Diceros bicornis minor: one gene and its partners. Each later gene encodes a partner of the first gene's protein in a complex. Links are inferred from orthologs where the notes say so. Each region holds a gene or a part of one and is shown on either strand. Other genes may lie near its edges. The genes, in order: CUL3, KLHL42 and KCTD5.

Evidence for each region.
Region 2: CUL3 (region 1) and KLHL42 share a complex: the UniProt entries of both Homo sapiens proteins name them as parts of the BCR(KLHL42) E3 ubiquitin ligase complex. The link is inferred for Diceros bicornis minor from reciprocal best matches to the Homo sapiens genes CUL3 and KLHL42.
Region 3: the proteins of CUL3 (region 1) and KCTD5 are in contact, whole or in part, in a cryo-EM structure (PDB 8U83), measured with the Homo sapiens proteins. The link is inferred for Diceros bicornis minor from reciprocal best matches to the Homo sapiens genes CUL3 and KCTD5. Residues at the interface, in NP_003581.1 of Homo sapiens: Thr24, Met25, Asp26, Glu27, Lys28, Tyr29, Val30, Asn31, Ser32, Ile33, Trp34, Asp35, Leu36, Leu37, Asn39, Ala40, Glu43, Asn48, Ser50, Leu52, Ser53, Glu55, Glu56, Leu57, Arg59, Asn60, Ala61, Tyr62, Thr63, Met64; in NP_061865.1 of Homo sapiens: Trp45, Phe55, Leu56, Thr58, Thr61, Arg64, Asp65, Lys67, Ser68, Pro96, Thr97, Tyr98, Phe99, Gly100, Pro101, Leu103, Asn104, Tyr105, Leu106, Arg107, His108, Gly109, Lys110, Leu111, Val112, Ile113, Asn114, Lys115, Leu117, Val122.

The regions. Positions count from the first base shown.
Region 1 is NC_080776.1:14,113,167-14,116,910, reverse strand, and holds the start of CUL3 (cullin-3), read left to right. Parts: upstream 1-1,370; 5' UTR 1,371-1,770; coding exon 1,771-1,836; intron 1,837-3,744. UniProt on the Homo sapiens protein: Core component of multiple cullin-RING-based BCR (BTB-CUL3-RBX1) E3 ubiquitin-protein ligase complexes which mediate the ubiquitination and subsequent proteasomal degradation of target proteins.
Region 2 is NC_080756.1:35,317,372-35,321,115, forward strand, and holds the start of KLHL42 (kelch-like protein 42), read right to left. Parts: upstream 2,886-3,744; 5' UTR 2,724-2,885; coding exon 1,852-2,723; intron 1-1,851. UniProt on the Homo sapiens protein: Substrate-specific adapter of a BCR (BTB-CUL3-RBX1) E3 ubiquitin-protein ligase complex required for mitotic progression and cytokinesis. The BCR(KLHL42) E3 ubiquitin ligase complex mediates the ubiquitination and subsequent degradation of KATNA1.
Region 3 is NC_080765.1:45,804,033-45,807,776, reverse strand, and holds the start of KCTD5 (BTB/POZ domain-containing protein KCTD5), read left to right. Parts: upstream 1-1,365; 5' UTR 1,366-1,380; coding exon 1,381-1,632; intron 1,633-3,744. UniProt on the Homo sapiens protein: Its interaction with CUL3 suggests that it may act as a substrate adapter in some E3 ligase complex. Does not affect the function of Kv channel Kv2.1/KCNB1, Kv1.2/KCNA2, Kv4.2/KCND2 and Kv3.4/KCNC4.

The DNA of each region.
Region 1 (3,744 bases):
GCCTGCCCCATGGCCTAGTGGTTAGGTTCCCCTCAGATCCCCAGGCCGGACCCACACCACTGGTCAGCCATGTTGTGGCAGCAAACCACACACAAAATAGAGGAAGATTGGCACAGATGTTAGCTCAGGGCAATCTTCCCCAAGGAAAAAGAAGACTGGCAACAGATGTTAGCTCATTGTGAATCTTCCTCAGCAAAAAAAAAAAAAAAAAAAAAGTATTAAAATAAATAATAGCTCTCAAATGTAGATACCCATCTTATTTAGAAGTTCACAAACTTAACTGGGAACTCACATATTCCTCTGCAGAGTCAGAAATCCAAATAGAGCAAAGAGGTAAATTAGGAAGTAAAATTCATAATAAATAGAAAGCAAAATGAATGAATCAAACTAGACCTTTTGACTACAATGACAGAAAAAAAATTCCCAAATTTTTAGCAAAGTGGAATCAAAGACAATTTTGGCTTTCAAAATCTATGGTACTCTTGGTAATAGTAAAAATGATTTGGCAGGTTAAAGATAGGTTTCTATCAGCCTATCTTCTATTTAACACCATTTACCAAAATATTGCACTACATAAAAGGCATTGTCATTTCATTTCAATGGTAACGAAAAACAGATTTTTAACACTAATAAGTCCTGGGTCCCTCAGAAAGTATCAACGAATCAAGAAGTCCTGAAGCGTCTGCAGTTTAAGGAAATTTTGTGGATTAACATCTCCACCCCTCAGTCCTAAAAGGTGGGGTGTGCACATCCAATCCGAATACCCGGCATACAGGACCCTAATTTCTGACACTGCAGGTAACTCCAGCACCAACTCTTCTCTCAACTTTCTGGCTTCTGCTCAAATACCCATCCCTAGTCCACATGCCCTAGAAAAACACAGGAACCAGTTCTGGATGGTTATCCATCTCGCACCCCACGCCCGCCCCGACACTACCCTCGCGACCCAGGCCAGCCGGACCCAGCCCACTACAGTCCCGCTCCGGCTCTCAGAACTTCCCCCGCCCACTCCATCCACGTGACCAAGACCCCCACCCCCGCCCCGCGCTCCACCAATCAGCAACCTCCTCCGCCCACAGCCGGTCTCCAGCGCTCCCCTTTCAAAAAGGCAGTTTACTCCGCCCGCCCTCGGCCCCGCCCCTTTCCCACCTCCCCGCCCCGCGGGTCCCTCCCACTTCCCCGGCTCCCGGTTCCCTCCCTCCCCTCCCGTTGTCCCCTCCCGCTCCCCGGCTTCGCCCCGCCCCGCCCGGGGCCGCGCGCTCGCCCTCTTCTCGCGAGATCGGAGCGTCCCCGCCGCGGCCGCCCGCCTCCCCTCCCGTCCTCCCACCCCCCCTTCCCCCAATCTCTCCACTCTACGGCTCTTCTCCCTCCCTCCTCCCCCCTCCACCCTCTGGGCCGGATCTCGTCTCGCTGAGGCGGAGGAGGAGAAGGAGGAGGAGGAGGACGTTCGGCCTGCGCAGTGAGATGTTTGTCCGTCGCCGCCGCCGCCGCCATCGCGGAGCAGCGCGATAAAGGGAGCCGAGCCGGGCGCGAGGGGGACGCCGCGGAGCCGCCGCGCCAGCGCAGCCCCCAGCCGAGCCCGCGCCGCCGGAGCCCGCGCCGCCGCCGCCCCCGCCGCGGCCGCCCAGGGCCGGCCAGCCGCCCAGCCCAGCCCGGGGGCCGCGCCGCCGCCGCCCCCCGCGTCGCCCCCCGCCCGCCCGCCCGCCTTAGATGTGACACCGGCGCCTCGGAGTGCGACCCGAAGCCGCCGCCGGGGAGGGGACGAGCACCATGTCGAATCTGAGCAAAGGCACGGGCAGCCGGAAGGACACCAAGATGCGGATCCGGGCCTTTCCGGTGAGTCCCCGCTCGGCGCCGGGGACCCCGGGGCCGGGGGCCCGGCCGAGAGCCGCACGCGAGGCCCGGGCTGAACTCCCCCAACAGGCCGCAGGCCCGGCCTCCCCTCCCCCACGCCGCCGGCCGCGGGGCGCGAGCCTCCCGGCAACGGGGCGCCGCGGGCCGGGCCTCCTGGGCCGTTCCCAGCGCCCCCGCCGCGGAGCGGCGCCGCCGGCCGGGCCCCCTCGCCGGTCCCGCGGCCCCGGGCGCCGGCCCGGTGCCGGGCGCCGGGTTCCGGGATCCCGGCCCTGCCGCGATGGGGACGGGCGAAGTCCTTGTGTGGGGCGCGTGTGTAACTTTTCACGTGTGGTTTCGCTGCGGGTGAGAAAAGAAGCCAGCCGAAGAGACGGCCAGCCAGACCTTTAGAATGATGGAGGGCACTGTCCTCTCCCTCTCCTCCCCCGTCGGGGAGGGTTGTGCCATCCGCCTACCCCCGGCGCGGTGACAGTGGTTCCACGTAGTGCTGTATAGTAATGTACCAGTAACATGGGTGTATTTATAGCATCTCTCATCCACAGGCTTCAGAGCACTTTACCAACTCTCATGGGCAGAAACTGCCTTGCCACTCAAGGGGAAGCCAGAGAGAACAAATTGGACAATTGGTTCTTTATTTCTTAGCCATGGAAGCCCAAAGAACGAGGAGTCACCATCCTGAGTTGCTTTACCGTCTAGGTTTTAGTGACAGCAGACGTTTTCTGTTTAGAAACTTTCTTTTTTAGCATTACGTTGACTCATATGCTTGTGGCGTTGAGTATATAGGGTATAACTTCGGGTGTCATATCTGAATCGAATAGCCAATGACAAGCATTAAAATGTGCTGTTGTAACAGAGAAACTAGGCGTATTTGCTCGTGTCGCTACAGTAACAGGCATACGTCAGGACAGACAAACCAGCAGTTGAACAGAAAATTTTAAAACAGCAAAGCTAGAGAAAGATCTTGGGTTTCCTTGCTTAAAATCATAAACATAAAGTGTGAGGGAGGAAGAGGCAGTTTGTACTCACTTTTTTAAGCGTGCTTTTTGTAAAGTGTAGTTTGCAGTGAGGAAAGACTTATTAGTGTAGTTATTCTAGTTGAGTAGGAAACCGACCCACTGAACTTGAGGACCTCTGTGAATTTTTAAAACTTAAAAGACCTGATGCAGACACCTGATGCAGAATTTTGAAATTGTGGTAGCGTAAATACTAATGTCGATGTGTAGAAACTTTTAGTTTTATGTAAGTAAAGCTAGGGTATACTCAGGAGAATTAAGTATTTTGATACTGATGAAAGGGATTTTGAATTTTTTTCTTAAGTAAATGTGAGAAACTACAAAGAAAATGAGAAATGTTGACAAAAGAGCACTAATGACGTTCACTAGCACGTTTTCCCTTAAAATGGAACAAAAGCTGGGTTTGTGAATTTTCGAGTAATGTTCGTTTTCCTACTAAATCAGTTCTGACCATTTTTAGCAGAATTTTAGTTGTATACAACAAATTTTCTAGGAAAAGCTTTCTACTCTTACAGTCTGAGTTCTAATTCAGATTTATTACTAAAATGTGGAATAGCTCACATTTGACATCAACTCACTTATGTCAATATTCTGATTAACCAGTTATACCTTTATCTATGTGTGATTAACCCTTTGATCTCTTTAGGTTTGCTTGTTCCTATCTGTTCTCCCATTCTTTCATTCATTCAACAAAGATGGAGTACTGTGTGCCAGGCGCTGTTGTGGGAGCTTGGGATATATCAGTATAGCTTGAAAGACCCAGATGCCTGCTTTCTGGATCTTACATTGCTGGGAGGAGGTGGTGGGAGAATATTCCTTTAGCTGAAGAGTGTAATATTATGTGATAGATTAGCACACAGTACTGATGAAACTGATTATT
Region 2 (3,744 bases), on another chromosome or scaffold:
TTTATCCAAAGAGGACAGAAAAGGCTTTCCTAGAATGAAAAAAAAGACTACCAAGGATTTGTGAAGAAAGAAAAGAAATCTGTGAGGTGTCGTGTTCCAGTCCTGGAGGTAGGGGTGGCGTGTTGAGCACCAATTGATACGGCTGGAGACGTGTGTAGAGGTGACAGACAACCTGCTGGGCCTTCACACCCAATCTGAGCACCACCCATAACTGCTGAACGTTCCTTTATTGCTTCAATTAAAGCTCCTAGAGTTTATTTAAAAATAACACTTCTGATATCAAAATTGAAATATGGCATCATCTCAACAGTGTAAATAATGCACTAAAAAGGGCCTGGAAGAAAATATGCCAACCTGTAGGTGGTTAATGCCTCTAGGAAGGAGGGAATAAGACTGATAGTCTTTCTGCTTCTTTTCCATTTTTTTCAGTTTTCTAGAATAACTATGTACTATTTTTAATCATCAAAAAAAAAAAGAACACTAGCGGCCGGCCTGGTGATGCAGCAGTTAAGTGCTCACGCTCTGCTTCCGAGGCCCAAGGGTTTGTTGGTTCGGATCCGGGGTGTGGATCCTGGGTGCTGCACCGACGCACCACTTGTCAGGCCATGCTGTGGCGGCGTCCCATATAAAGTGAAGGAAGATGGACACGGATGTTAGCCCAGGGCCAATCTTCCTCAGCAAAAAGAGGAGGATTGGCATCGAGTGGTAGCTCAGGGCTGGTCTTCCTCACACACAAACAAAAAAAGAACACTTTCCAAAATGATTTCATATTCTAGTAGAAATAAAGCCAGTGTTCCCCCCTGGCCTGGGGGGACCCTCAAGTCAAGTAAATAGTATGCATAATGGCCTTCCTGTTCCTGTGAAGACTGTCTTTGCCTGGTGGTGAGTGTCCCCACTCCTTGCTCCACACTCCAGGCCAGGGAGCATGGCGGGCCTGGAGACGGATACAGGTGGACCAGAAGAAGGGGTATTCTTGTCGTTTCTTGGGTGACAGTGATTCTTCTCTCCACTTGTGAATGGCTCTGGGCCGTCTTGGGCCCTACCGTCTTAACTTCCTACCACCTCCTCCTGCATCTGCTCTGTGCTCTCGTTCTCCCTTTCCTGGCTCCTTTCCCTACCCCACCCCACCCCCAATCTCCTTCTTTTCTCTCCCTTTCTTGAAGTCATGCAAGTTCATGTTAGGAGGAATTTGCAGGACGGGAAGGGAGAAGGTTAGGGTGGATGGAAATTTTCTAATTCTGTAAGTGATCACCGCCAGGCTCAAGCTTTGGGTCAATGACAATGACTGGCTCAGAAAGAAGAGAGATGCAAAATAGAGGATAAAACATAAGAAAGGCAATCCTATATAGCTAGTATTCATACAATTCTAACGACTATGTCCCGATGACAGATGGGTGACCCGGTGTGGAAGGCTTCAAAGCCATTAACAACAAAAAAATCCCCCAAAGTCAGTGTTACAGGTTACTGCCCAGTGTGTCATTATTATCAGGATCAGATCCTAAAAAATAAAAAAGGTGAAAATAAAAGCAAAATTAAAGAACAGTTTTAAGTATCCTTTTAGGAAACCACAACATCTTTTTTTCCACTGGGATAGAGGCAAAGAAAGTAGTTTGCCTGATGGCGAGATACCTGCAAGGCGCCTACTCAGCTAGTTGACCTCACTGGGGCCTCTTCTTCCTTGCAAGTTCTTAGTTCACTGGGAACTTTGCCAGAGTGGAGGCCAGCCACACTCCTGAAGACGTCATTCCCTCCTCAGCACAACCTCCTGCGATTGCTCAGTAAACATTAGGCGAACGAGTTAATGAACAAGTGAATGAATGAGAAAGAACCAGCGCTCTGCTGGGGGCTTACCTCTTCTGGTTCATGGAGGCCACCTGGAGCCACTCGTTGGTGCTGGGGTTGTAGGAATGCGCGGCGGCGATCTCCTGGCTAGTGATCCTGTACCCGCCCACTATGAAGAGGTAGTTGTCCAGGATGGCGGACCCGTAACCCCTGACATTCACCAGGTCGGGGGGAAGGTTGTTGGCCAGCGGGAACCAACGTTCAGTCATCTCCTCATACCTGAGCATGGACGGGGGCTCCCCCTGGTAGGGGTGAGGGGCCAAGGGTCCCCCCAAGAAATCCCCTAGGGCCACAAGGACAGGAGTCCCAGTCATCCGGGCCTCTCTCAGCCTCTGCTTCAGGCTGACATCCCCCGGAGCTTGGGGAGAAGCCCCCAGGAGGTGGAAGTGGGGCTTGCAGAGCACCTCGTGGAAGTGGACGACCATGAAGCGCAGGCAGGCCTCCTGCAGGTCGGGCAGCCCGTACACCTGCGCCAGGCGGTACATCTCCAGGCAGTTGGTGAGCCGCACCTGGGACAGCAGCAGCTGCAGCAGGGACGTGACCTGCAGGAAGGAGGCCGCTTCCACCAGCTCGGACAGCAGGCTCACCTCGTCCATCTCCTCCTCCTCCTCCACCCCGCCGCCCTTGTCCCCGCGCGGGCCCAGGAGCCAGCCTTCGCGGGCCCCGCCGGCGTTGATGAAGTCCAGCACCAGGCGCAGGCCCGGGGCGCTGAGGCCGCGCAGCTGCTGCACCTCGGGGCCGCCGGCCTCCTGGCTCAGGGCCTCGCGCATGCCGGAGCGGTAGAGCGCGCGGAAGTAGTCGCTCTGCTCGATGAGCTTCCTCTTGCTCACCGGGTAGCAGCGGTCCTCCAGGCGGATCTGCACCATCTCCTCGGCCGACATGGCTGGGGGGCCGCGGGCCGCGGGGCTGCCCGCCAGCTCTGCGCGCTCGCCTCCCCGCCCCCACGCGCTCGCCGGGTTCCGGGTTGGGCGCGCCGAGGGAGGGCGGCGGGAGGAGGAGGCAGGCGGAGGCCGCGGCTCGGGGCCGCGGCGGCGCCCCCGAGGCAGCCCCTCCTCCCGGGCCCGGGGGCGGCGGCCCTGCCCGGCTGCTCTCCCTCAGCGCCAAAAAAGGCCCGCCCGCGCGCCGGGCGTCGGGAGGCGGCCGCCGTCCCCGCTCGGGTTCTCGCGGGCCGCGTCAGCCGGGGAGGGGATCCCAGCCCCCGGCCTGCAGCCTCCTCCCCCGCCGCGCTTCCCGCTTCCGCCCGCGGGACCCCTGCCGCCCGCCGGACCCGCGCGCCGGCTCCCGCGCTCGGGGAGGCTGGGAGGCTGCCGGCCTCCGGCGCAGCGGCTCTGCAGCCTGGCGGGGTCTGCAGCGATGATCGCGGGGGACAGGAGGCGAGAGGAAGCCAGTCTGCTTTTTCTTCCACGCTGCCTTTTGCTGGGGGCGGGGGCAGCTGTGGGAGGATGAAGGGAGTCTGGGGTCCGGGGAGTCAAAAACACATCACATCTGGGATCGCCCATCTGGCCCAGTCGGGCTTCGTGTCCCAGGGGGCTGAGGCACACTGGCCGTCTCTGGACATGCAGGTGGCACCCAGAGGTGATTCTTCGGCATGGTCATTGTGTAGGAGCCATCTTGCAGAAAGAAGGTCCAGCCAGATGGCAGTAGGTTCTGCAGGGCTCAGCGCATGGGGTGCACCCGATGAGAAGAGTTGGGAAGCACAGGAGCTGGTATTTGCTGTTGGGGCCTGTTATCCTCTTTGTGCTATTAAAAGAAAGTCAGAAGGACAACTTGACTAAATAAAATTAGACCACGTGCCTTCTTTTCAAATATTTTCTAACAGCCATTGCTTTCCCTGTTTCAGTTTGGTTGGGCTAGCCATTACGGAATGTTATTTTGGGGCAGAAGGTCTGGCCGCTTTTGCTC
Region 3 (3,744 bases), on another chromosome or scaffold:
AAATGAACTGATGGTGACTCAAGTGGGTGTGGCCCTGGGTTTGAGGCGGCCTACAGGGCAAGTGCCTTAAATCAGGGCAAGAGGCACTCCCAGAGCCTCTGAGGGGCGCAGGCTGCTGGCCCATGATTGCGAGGTTGTAAATCAGGCTGCCTGTGGAGAGTGGGTCTGGAGGGGAAGCCGGTCCAGCAAAGAGCAGTTTTATCTGTAGCTCAGACAGCCGTGGTGGGCAGCTGAATGAGCCTACGTGTATACCTGAATTTTCCCCATAACTCATTTCTTCAATATGAAGAAACACCAAACTTTGTGTACAGAGAACTTTTTACAAAGGCAAACCTTTTTTAGCTGTGTAATCCACCCTGGTCTAACGGTCTGGCTGAATGAATAGGGGTCATTTTGCTGGTGAAAAGCCTCTATCATGATCAGAAGTTTGATTGGACCTTGGCAAATTAAATTCTTGCAGTATTTAGAGCTGCTGCAGCTGTTCCTTAACACAAAATAGGATGAATCAATAAATAGTATGTTAGCTGTCTTTCAGGTTGGTGGCAGGCAGTGAGAACATGTGTAATATTCTCTACCTGGTCTGTAGCTGTAACTGTGATGTACAGGCAAAGCAAAAATTTTAAAAAACTTATGAAAACAAATAATGCAATGATATTAGGATATACACTTTTGTATTTTTATTCTTATATAAGGTTATTTGCTGGCTCTTGTTGGCCTCTAGTTCAGTCTGTGTTATTTAAAATCTAATATATGAATTATTTGGATTGAATTCATGTTCGGGGCCACGTTGTTGTATGTATTGATGTACAGCCTTGAATGTGAATAATTATTGTAAACTATATTTTACAACTTTTTTTCTGGCTTTATTATATAAATTTTCTATTTGGTCAATGATTTAATCATATCATAATTTAATGAATCTGTTTATTCTCTTTTTTTCAAATATTTGTGCTTTAGATGTAGTTACCGGATGATGAATTTTCCACGTATGCTCGGTAGTCTTGTAATAAAAAAGCATGTAGAGTGTAGACGCTCGCTGGTACCGCAGCTCTTCCTTTCGCCGGGGCTGCGGGGCGGGCGTGGTCGCGACTTGGGTTCTGGGCCGGGAACCGGCCGTCCGCGCGCCGCACGCGCGGGGCGGAGGCTGCCGAGCGCTTCTCCACTCGGTCGCCGGTCCCCGCGCTGCTCGCCCGCGTGGGCGCCCTGGGACCACGCCGTGGCCGGCCCGGGCCGGAAGGGGGCACGGCCGGCCGCTTTTCCGGACCGGAACTTCCGCCTCTTGCGTGACGCCGGCCGCGTGGGCGGGACAGAGCTCGAAGGACTATATTAAAGACCGGACGCTTCCGGTGGAGGGGAGCTGTGGCGGTGCTTGCTGGGATCATGGCGGAGAATCACTGCGAGCTGCTGCCGCCGGCCCCGGGCTGCTTCGGGGCGGGGCTGGGGGGCGGCCTGTGCCCCCGCTGCAGCGCGGGGCTCGGCGCGCTGGCCCAGCGGCCTGGCGGCGTGTCCAAGTGGGTCCGGCTGAATGTCGGCGGCACCTACTTCCTCACCACCCGTCAGACGCTGTGCCGGGACCCGAAATCCTTCCTGTACCGTCTGTGCCAGGCCGACCCCGACCTGGACTCGGACAAGGTGAGGGCCACGCGGGCCGGCCACGAGAGTCTGGGCCCTGCCCGCGCTGGGGAGACCGTCCCGCCACAGTTCGGCCCGAGCCCCCGACTCCCTGCCTGGGCCGGGGACGGAGGGGATGGCGCCCTGGCGCCCACTGCCTTCGGGGATCCCCGGCCACGCCACCTCGAGGCGTCTCTGTCTCGTCCTCTCTGCTCTGTGGCGGAGGAGGCTACCCAGACCCCGGACTTTTTTGTGAGTCTGCTTTCTTCTCCTCCCTCGACTCTTTGGCCCCTGGTGTGTGCACACCTTCTCCTCTCCGCGCCGGGGTACTTAGTGGTTCTGGAGTCGCGGAACCCTGGCGCTGTTCTCGTCTGTTCACATTCCGGGCGGTTGACTTACCGTTGGCGTGGGGGGGTTTCACGGGTGGCCTGCCTTTGCCAGTGACTTGCATTTAGAGAGTTGGCGCTCCACCGTCTTCAGCCACAACACTCAGCGCTCTCAGAGGGTGCCATCCATAGAATGATTGTTCAAAGGGAATGCTGCTCATATTAAGGGGTGGCTTAGGGGTGTCAAGGAAGGGCCAGGGGGGAAATCTTTTTCAGTCTGCTTTCTAATTAATTAGCCTAGTTTTCCGACTGCCCTGGCAAAAGGATAGGAATTTCTAGGTTAGTTTGCAGCTTGTCTTTCATCAAGTTTAATGTTCACACTGTTGTACGGGTGGTAATAGAAACTATTTTGGTGATTACCTTTACTTTACAAGACCTGTGTGACCGAGGAAGAGTATCTCAGGCACTGAACAGGATTGAAACTCAGGGAAGGCGTTGTTGGAAAAAGCTATTACTATATTTGTCTTGGGCAATTCACAAGTGTTATTCTAACTTGCCAGGGTCTTTCAGTTGAGCCTGCATAATTGCACTTGGCCTTGTGCCTTGCCACCCCAACATTTGCCAGACATAAGGCTTCCCAGAAAGATTCAGATCTCTCTTCAAGTTCGAGAACCCTGACGGAGACCATCCTCCCTGTGGCATGACCTTATGATCAGGAAATGAGAATTCTTGAGTTACCACAAAACCACCCATCATGGGTAGGAATCAGGGTTTGAGATGCCAGCGCTCTGGTCCCCTGGTGCCGCCGCCCACCCCCCTCAGCTATTTCCATTGCTCATTTGTCTGAGCTCTCCACTCTTAGAGGATTGACCTCCCAGAAAATGACAGTCTTCTCCAGGATAGAAATAGGCTTTTGTCAGTTGTGATTTTTCTTTTATAGTGTGGGTCTATGTTTTACTGTTTTGTTTTTCTTTTTAAACAGAGTCTTAGGGGTCATTCACTTGTATTTCTACTGAAGCGTTCCTGTTTTGTATATTGAGTCAGGTTTTAAATTGTTCTTGTCCGTTGGGTTGTTTGTTTTGAGGCAATGGCTGTCGATTCACCACTGAAACAATTAATACAGAGCCGATAAGCTGTAGCTTGCGCAGTTAAGTCGATTCATCCCTTTATTTTACTGTCTCAGGACTACTTAAAAAATTATGCTTTACTGTAATAGGAGTTCTTTGGGAGAGGGTAATTAATCTATCACAATATATTTATGTTGTAGTTTCTTTTTTTTATCAGCATCCACTTAAATATATTTGATTTCTGAATTGTAAAACTGAAATTTAGATACGGTTTCTGTCTCATAAAATAGTTGATAGTAAATAAGGGTTAATTTTAGTCACAGATAATGTGGATTTGCCAGAAAGAGTAATGCTAATTTGCATTAGTCATGGTAGCGTTTTACTTCAAATGAGAAAATGTAAAAGATACTCGGTCTTCTCAGTTTTTTCCCCCCTTGTTTCTGATAAAAGAATGTCCCAGTGGGGCCGGCCCAGTGGTGCAAGCGGTTAAGTGCGCGTGCTCTGCTGGGGCGGCCCGGGGTTCGCCGGTTCAGATCCCGGGCGCGCACCGACGCGCTGCTTGTCGAGCCGTGCTGTGTTGGCGTCCCATATAAAGTGGAGGAAGATGGGCACAGATGTTAGCTCAGGGCCAGTCTTCCTCAGCAAAAAAGAGGAGGATTGGCATCAGATGTTAGCTCAGGGCTGATCTTCCTCACGCACACAAAAAATGAATGTCCCAGAGATTCACTCCTAGATAGTTA